Linked DNA regions of Drosophila melanogaster. The protein of the gene in region 2 interacts with the protein of the main gene of each other region in a pairwise test. Each region holds a gene or a part of one and is shown on either strand. Other genes may lie near its edges.

The links.
Region 1: the proteins of CG1674 (region 2) and CG18449 interact in a two-hybrid assay, tested with the Drosophila melanogaster proteins (one large-scale study listed by BioGRID).

Annotation. Positions count from the first base shown.
Region 1 is NT_033778.4:8,366,621-8,369,894, forward strand, and holds CG18449 (uncharacterized protein), read right to left. Parts: upstream 1,308-3,274; 5' UTR 1,189-1,307; coding exon 709-1,188; 3' UTR 543-708; downstream 1-542. Other genes in the region: CG2127 (uncharacterized protein), read right to left, coding at 2,383-3,274.
Region 2 is NC_004353.4:229,836-234,425, reverse strand, and holds the start of CG1674 (uncharacterized protein), read right to left. Parts: upstream 3,001-4,590; 5' UTR 2,826-3,000; exon of another isoform or gene 2,799-2,825; intron 2,577-2,798; exon of another isoform or gene 2,492-2,576; 5' UTR 2,473-2,491; coding exon 2,449-2,472; intron 2,148-2,448; coding exon of another isoform or gene 1,578-2,147; intron 162-1,577; coding exon 81-161; intron 1-80. Other genes in the region: yellow-h, read right to left, coding at 4,027-4,515.

The DNA.
Region 1 (3,274 bases), on a different chromosome or scaffold from region 2:
AAGTATATATGTATATATATCTGTCCTTATGAAAACCTCGATCTCTGGAACTAATAACGATAACAGCACATGTTTGTTGGCCCATGCTGCCACACTTTTTCCACACTTTTGGAAAATGTTCTGATATTTTTTCATTCTTTTCTATCGATTTGCCTAAATCTGTCACCACACTTTTGCAAAATGCTGTTATATTTTTTTACATAGCCACGCCTCTTCTAACGCCTTCAAGACGCCTAAAACTGCTACGCCCACACTTTTGAACAATGTTATTAATTTTATCTCATTTTACTCCCTAATATCTATTAATATGCCAGAAAAAAAAACGATATTACGCGTTCGCATTGTCACTAGCTGAGTAACAGGTATCTGATAGTCGAGTAACTCGACTGTAGCATTCTCTCCATGCACCGCTAAATAATTGCTTAATGGAATTAATTATGTTTTTTCGACTTTACCTGCCCAAAAGTGCATAAATTACACACGATATTTTTTTAAAACGCCATCAAAAACCCCTTAATACCATAAAACACAAACAAACAATTATCTTAAAGATTGCAAATTTAATTTGATTTTGTTTCTACTGTTATACAACACAGAAAACCTATTCGACTTTAAACTAAAACTCGACATCTAACATATGAGGCAAAGGCAAATTAAATCCACAATAGTTAAGATCGAAGTTGATAGCGAAAACAAGCCGTGTATCAGCTAGTATCCATCAAACGCCATTCGATCTGATGCAGCTTCTACGTAACGCCTTTTGTTTTTGCTTTGGGTGGAGATAAACTGCGAGATGAATTGTTTAGCAGGCATTGCGATCCTCTGGAGGCGCCTATTGGGGTCGGTAGTTCGGCGGAGTTCACGAATGTGGGGTCGCTCCTCCTGTGAACGCGAGTCCTTCGCCTCCTTATGGGCTTCCTCATTTGGGATGACAGCTTCCCGCCAGGTGGCCTGATATTTCCGCTCCGTCCAACGACCTGGCCTGTATTTGGTGTCATCCATGCGCTCCTCAATCTGCGGCTGCATCTGTGATTGTGGCCAAGTTCTCTGGTGGTTTCGCTCTTGATTGGAGTTGAGTTTGTAGTGAATTTCATCCAAACGTAACTGCTTCATTCCGCGACGCGTCACCAGATTTTCAAGTCCGAAGGCCACTATCCTGCTGCTTAACAAAGCTTTTGTCGAATTCATTGTGTTTCAATATGATTTATTTTGATTTGATTTATGATTTTGATTTTTTTTAGTTTTTAAGTAAACTACAAGTTTTCAGAAGAGATAATAAACATATATTAAATTTTGTAGACCGGAACATATAGATTGTTATGTGTGAAAGCCAAGAATGAAAATGAAAGTATTGGGAAAAACTAGTGGGGAAATGAAAATGCAGGGCTTACTAGATAGATTTAAAATTCGATCTTTCAAATACGCACATGGTTTTTGGTGATTGTCGACGGTTTGCCTACTCGATCTGTCGAATACCCATGTGGTTTTCGGATTATCGGAAAACTATTTTTTCAAAAATTAAAAAAGTAACAAGAATATGCCTTTCGGGACCAATCGGTCGCCGCCTGCAAATTAAACTCCTTAGTACATAAATGATGTTGCATTAGCAGCTTAAATATGGAATTATTAAATATCGATTCGAGTATGGAACCGAAGGCACTAGAAATTCTAATATCTTTGATGGAACCCTATTGCCCATCCAGTTAATTAAAAATCAATGATTGAAACTTTTTTAGTTCTTGTATTTCGTTCAACGTCGGTCAGTTTGACGTGGATTAAAGCTTTATAATAGGCGTCCAGGATAACTGCAAAGGTTGGACATGGACAAAACACCTAGGCTCCCAGTGCCACCAACGGGATTATGAGTACAGAGTCCTCAGTCTTATGGAATGAAAATGTGGGAGGGCCATAAGCGAGAGACATCCCCGGAGCTCCGGTATCCAAATTGCCGGGGATCAGCACTTGTCAAAGTCCCAGCAATCGCACTCCTTGGAAGGATTAGGGTCAGTCTGTTTTCGCTTGCACTCCGAGTAGCTCGGGAATGGTGTTGGGACCTTGGAGCAGTTCTTCCTCTTCGCGGAGCGCTTGCAGCTGGGCTCCGGCTTGCATTTATCCTTCGAATTGGAGTTGCACTTGGAGTCCGAGGTGCCGCCCTTGGAGCTGGCACAGCTGGCCAATCGGACGACGACTGGCATTAGGGTTTTCCCGCAGCGTTTTAACAGCATTTTGAATTTGGAAAGTGTGGATTGTGGATTGTGGATTGTGGAGTGCGAATGGAATGAATTGGCTATTTTGGAAAACTGTAATTTTGGTGGATTGTGAGTTGGAAAAGTGACCGGAATGTTGTGGCCAGATGTCGAATGACTGTGCTTTCGCCGCCGCCTACGTTTCGCCACACTTAAGGACTGCCCCCTTGCCACGGGCGATCCTTCGCCTCAGCTCCGCCCACATCTCGCAGGCCATGGGAACTCGAAGGCATAGGCACTCTGTAGGTGGTGCGTTAGTGAGCTCCTCCCGCTTGCATTCTGAGAAGCTGGGATACGGCGCCGGGCGCTTGGTACAGTCGGTAGGTCGGCGTTCTCGGTGGCAACTGGGCGGAATACGGGCGGGCTTGCAGCAGGGAAGAGTCCAGCGCGGACAGGGTGAGGAGTCCTCTGCCTTCTTGCACTCCATGGGATTAAGCATGGGCATCGTGGGACGGGCTGTGGCCACCACCGTCTTCCGCTGACGGCGGCAGGGCTTCGGACGCGGTCGCTTTGCGTGGATGCACACCTTCTTGGGCTTGATCACCAACCGGGGGCACTCGTTCCACGTCACCTGGTACTGGCGGGCCTCTTTGTCCGATATGCGGTAGTGCTGGATGTCGTACCGCACTGGCACATCGCACTTTGGCACGTACTCGCAGTCGGGTATATACCACATGGACCTCATCTTTGCTGGCAGCTTCGGCTTGTTGGACTTTTCCTTCTTGGGCTCTTCCTTCTTCTTGCGCTTACCGCCCTTGACTGCATCGCAAATGGTGCCCTTGAACCGAGCAGGACCACAGCCCTTGGAGGTCGATACCTGATCGCAATCCTTTGGCCGCCCGCAATCATCGGCGGAAGACTGACTGCTGTAGTTGCGGCGTAACAGGTGCTGCCGGAGCACACTGGAGCCAACGCAGTCGGCCGGGGTTTTGATTTGGCTCAGATTCTTGGACCAATCGACCTTGAATAGAGAACAGGCATTTACCAAAGACTCCAGGCACGGCATGCTCCGATCTACGAGGGAACGA
Region 2 (4,590 bases):
AAGACGTGTTTATATTTTTTAATAATTACACATGAATTTGTATTGAAATGAGCTATAAAACTGTGTATAGTCTTACTTACCGGTTCATTTAGCGAAACAAGGTCTGCTTTAGTGTTTTCGGCCGATAAATCAGATGCAATGGATGTTGGGTCATTGACATTCTAAAAATAAAGTACACTTTAAAGATCTAATCGAAATTGATAATGTATGATTTGCACGAAGCTGTAAGTAAACTTTTGTAAGCTGCGTATTAAAATAATGAAGTGCAGCTGAATGAATGTTCCAAAATTTTAAACCAAATCATACAATAATTAATAAATCAATTATAATATTAAACATATGCAATTAAACAACACAGTTCAAAGAGTCGTAGGCTTTTGCCTTATGTTTGACAAAATTTACTCTGCAGAACTGCAGAAGCTTAAATAATTATTTGCTTGTGCTCAAATATAAGCGTTATACCTAGATTAATACCCATGCAGAGTCAGAGTTTTTCGTATATATCTGAGTAGTTCCCCTATCCGTATCCGGTTCCGAAAAGCACATAGTTATAAAGCTTGACTATTTCCAACATTATTTTTTAAAACGCACTTTAAAACAAGAGAGAATGCTATAGTCGAGTTCGCCGACTATCAGATACCCGTTACTCAACTAGTGTGAATGCGAAGCCGAAATTTTATAATTATTATTGGATATCAATAGATATTGGGGAATAAAATGAGAAAAAAAATTTAACATTGTTTAAAAATGTGGGCGCGTCCGTTTTGATAGTTTTGTAGGTGAAAAAATGGGCGGACAACAGTGTTTTTGGTATACAGACAAAAATTGTATGCTTAATCTCAACCTTCTAGCTTTTTTAGTTCCTGAGATGTCAACTTTCATACAGGTGGACACTTCCAGATCGACTCGGCTATCGATCCAGATCAAGAATATATATACTTTATATGGTTGGAAACGCTTCCTTCTGACTGTTACATATTGATCAAAGATCTAGTATACCCTTTTACTTCACGAGTAACCGGTTTAGAATATGCAAAAGTGTGGGGATGACAGTTTCCGCGGTTGATGAACGTTGGAGTATGAGGGCCAATCTTTTAAAACCAACTTGCAGAAATGTCACTGGTATCAGAATGCTGAAAGTGCATATTCATATTCATATATATCTTGAAGTTTAAATGGACAAACAGGCGGAAATGGCGACAACAATTCTAAAAGAGATCCTAATCCATTCCGCCTTTTATCTGATTTTGAAGATTACGAGTAATCAGGACATTAATTCCTTAAACTTGTTAGAATTTCTTTAAAAATATAAAAACGTTTCAACAATATTTTTTTTTTACCTAAATCATGTTTTAAATATTATTGACTTAGATCCAAGTACCTGGACTAAGTTACTAAGTTACAAATACACATTTAGACTTTATGAAGTAAAAAATAAATGTAGCCTTTGCAGGGTATATGGTAAGTTAGGGCAACATTTGCTTTACTTTTTCTTTATAAATATTATGTTAAATAAAAAACATTTTTGAAGCTTGAAGGCGATAATTTAGGTCTGTTATTCTTAAAAATACAAATACTTTTTCCGACGAAGATTTAGTGGTATCCTGTGATTTGCAATTTTCGATAGCTTTATCATCTTCGCCTTTAATTAGAATGTTCGACGTGTCTTGAACAGGTGATTCGTTTTCCGCATTCGATGAATTTTCACCATTAGTACTCCCATCTATTAAGTCCAACTCGAAATTATTCTCAGAAACGGTGGACAAATTTTCCACAGATATTAATGGGTCCGTTTTAATAGATGCATCTATAATAATAGGGTTATTGGATTCGGAGTCTTCTATCTCAACAGTTCTCTCCATATCCGATGAGCTAATATCTAAAGACGGCTTGTCAATTAGTGCAGCTGGGTTTACTTCCAAATCTGTTGTATTTTTTTTCTCTGAATTACAGTCTTCAGATTCGCTTTCTTCAATTTTTAGATCGTCATCATCTTTATTATCTCTTGAAGTGACGGGTTTATCAAAACCACTGTCAATATAAGATACCAAGAGTTTTTCATTGAGATTATCATTATCTTGGGGAGTAGTTTTAATCTCATCAGCGTAATCTATTTGGGTTTCATTTTTTGTAGCAATTTCTTTCTCCTTTAGATTGTAGAAAATATGAGTTTGTAAAGTTTATTTCTATCTATTTATTAAATGGTAATATTACTATTATTTACATTAAAAATGATGGCAAAAAACGTAAACGGTATATTTAGTTAATAATTACAATAATTTATTTAAATAAATGTATTACCATTTTCTCTCTGAGAAAATTGTCAAAAGTAAATGTATAACAATGTAAAAGATGTAAAAAATCTTGTAAAAAATCTAAGCACTTTGAATTTTTTATAGGTGAATATTATATTTATATTAATTAATTAAATATTGTTTTTTGACTTACCTCAATATTTAAAGTAGAATCCATATCTAAAAGCTGTACAAATCTATAAAATAATAATAAAATGTAGAGAAAGGAATTTATATTTGTATCGTCTCAACAGGTAGGCAGGTCCTGCATTATTATTATTACATAAGGGTGTAATTTATAATAAAGCACATGCAACACACTCAGTTATAAAATATCGCATTTTATGCTGAATGTAAATACATATAGAGACACTCAAATAATGTTCGTTGGTGCTGTTATTATGTAATACATAGTGAGAAGCATATACAACATGAATGTTAATTTCTCTTCGACCACACTAACTTTTCTTTTTTTTAATATCCATAATAATAATTTACACGTACATATATCAAATATATCTTTTCACTTGCCTATTTCCCAATGTTATTTGTTTAAAAAAATATTTACTGCAAACAATACTGTAGTATCGAATTATTGAAAGATAATAATACAACTAAAATCCGTATAGGCCAATAGAATGAACATGAATTCATGCGCCTGCCTTTAAGAATATGATTGCACATCAAAGATAGCTTCCACACTGTCCACATGCTTATTTACTTGATTATCGGCTCGTTCGCATACAGCAATTTGGGAAATGTGTATTTAAAAGTCACACACAAATACATTTATTTTCACAAATACAAAAATATTTTCTCGTAAATTTATACGTATGTATACAGCATCTTTGTTCGGCAAACAAGCGCATCGATGAGAGCCCCTTTTATTGGAACGGAGTACTTTATTTACTATTTTTATAGTTATAAGTCGCAGTGTCTTATATGCACTTACATACATACCTTGTTTTTAAAACTTAAATTTACGAATGAGTAAAGTGCGAACCATCTTTAAGTTAACATCGCCCAAATTTGATTATATTCAAAGTAATATCTCGAGAAAATACTGTAACATGAATATACATATATCCATTGATGTTCGATATTTCTTTATAGATAGTAATATTCTCTTTTAGAGATGTTATATTAAGTACACCCAAAATCAAACCACTTTCAGAGGAAACTAATGACGATAACACGAACTTGAAGATACAATAGAAGAAAGAACACGCTCCCTACCTGTTACTTCTTACAATTGGATATAACCTTTCACAGTACGACTAAAAAATATAAATATATTACAAACAATTGTATACACGTTTGAATTTGAACCCTAATATTCATTCGTTGAAAACTAGAATGGCGGAGGGAAGAACTGCTGACCCATAAAGAATATACTTCGAATATTCGAGCAGAATCGCAAGCCAAGTTGATCTAGCAATGTACGTCCATTTTAATTTCGTGATCTTTAAAATTTTAAAAGCTAGAAAGCTAATTTTAGATACGTATGTTCTTAAAAGTCCGATCTTATGCCAATTTGGAACTCGTACACGTTTAAAAACTGTTATTCTTTTAGTCAATTTAGTTAATTGCTTGGACACAACAAAGCGCAAAAATCTGTTAGACCCAAACCTTCAAAAAAGGTACTAGAGTATCATTTGTAACGGACGCAAATACCAAGGTTGTTCAAAAATTTACAACATTTTGTTGTGTAATTGTTTATTTACCATAGTTTTCAAAAACACTGTCCTTCTTCTATCAACACAAAAGCTGACTTTGATGTATTAATATAACTATTATCCGGATTGCAAACACTATTGCGAATAATCTTATTTACATTCGCCTTTAAAATTCGAAAATTTACTTCTCCATAATCTAGATTGCTGTATAGAAAAATTGGTAGTCGGTTACTTATAAGCCATACATTTTGATCTTTTTCTTTGTCTACTTTTAAATCATTTGGAAATTGAATAAGATTTGAGTTTTCCATATTATGAAATTTTCCCAAATGTGCTCGAGTGTATGGTTTCGATGTATCCCAGCATCCAATATCATCTTGATGAACTTGTGTAAAAAACATAATGCCATTCCTTGTAACTCCTGATGTAGATGATTGAGAATTATATCCGCGGTCTCCAATTGGTATGAAGTACTTGGCGTACTCTTGAGTATTCGTTTGCCACACAGATTCGTTTAACAAGATATTCATAGGCACCATGAACTCCTAAATGAGAAAGTATTATAATCACAATTATTATTATTATTATATCAGTTACTCGTAGAGTATAAGGGATTGCTA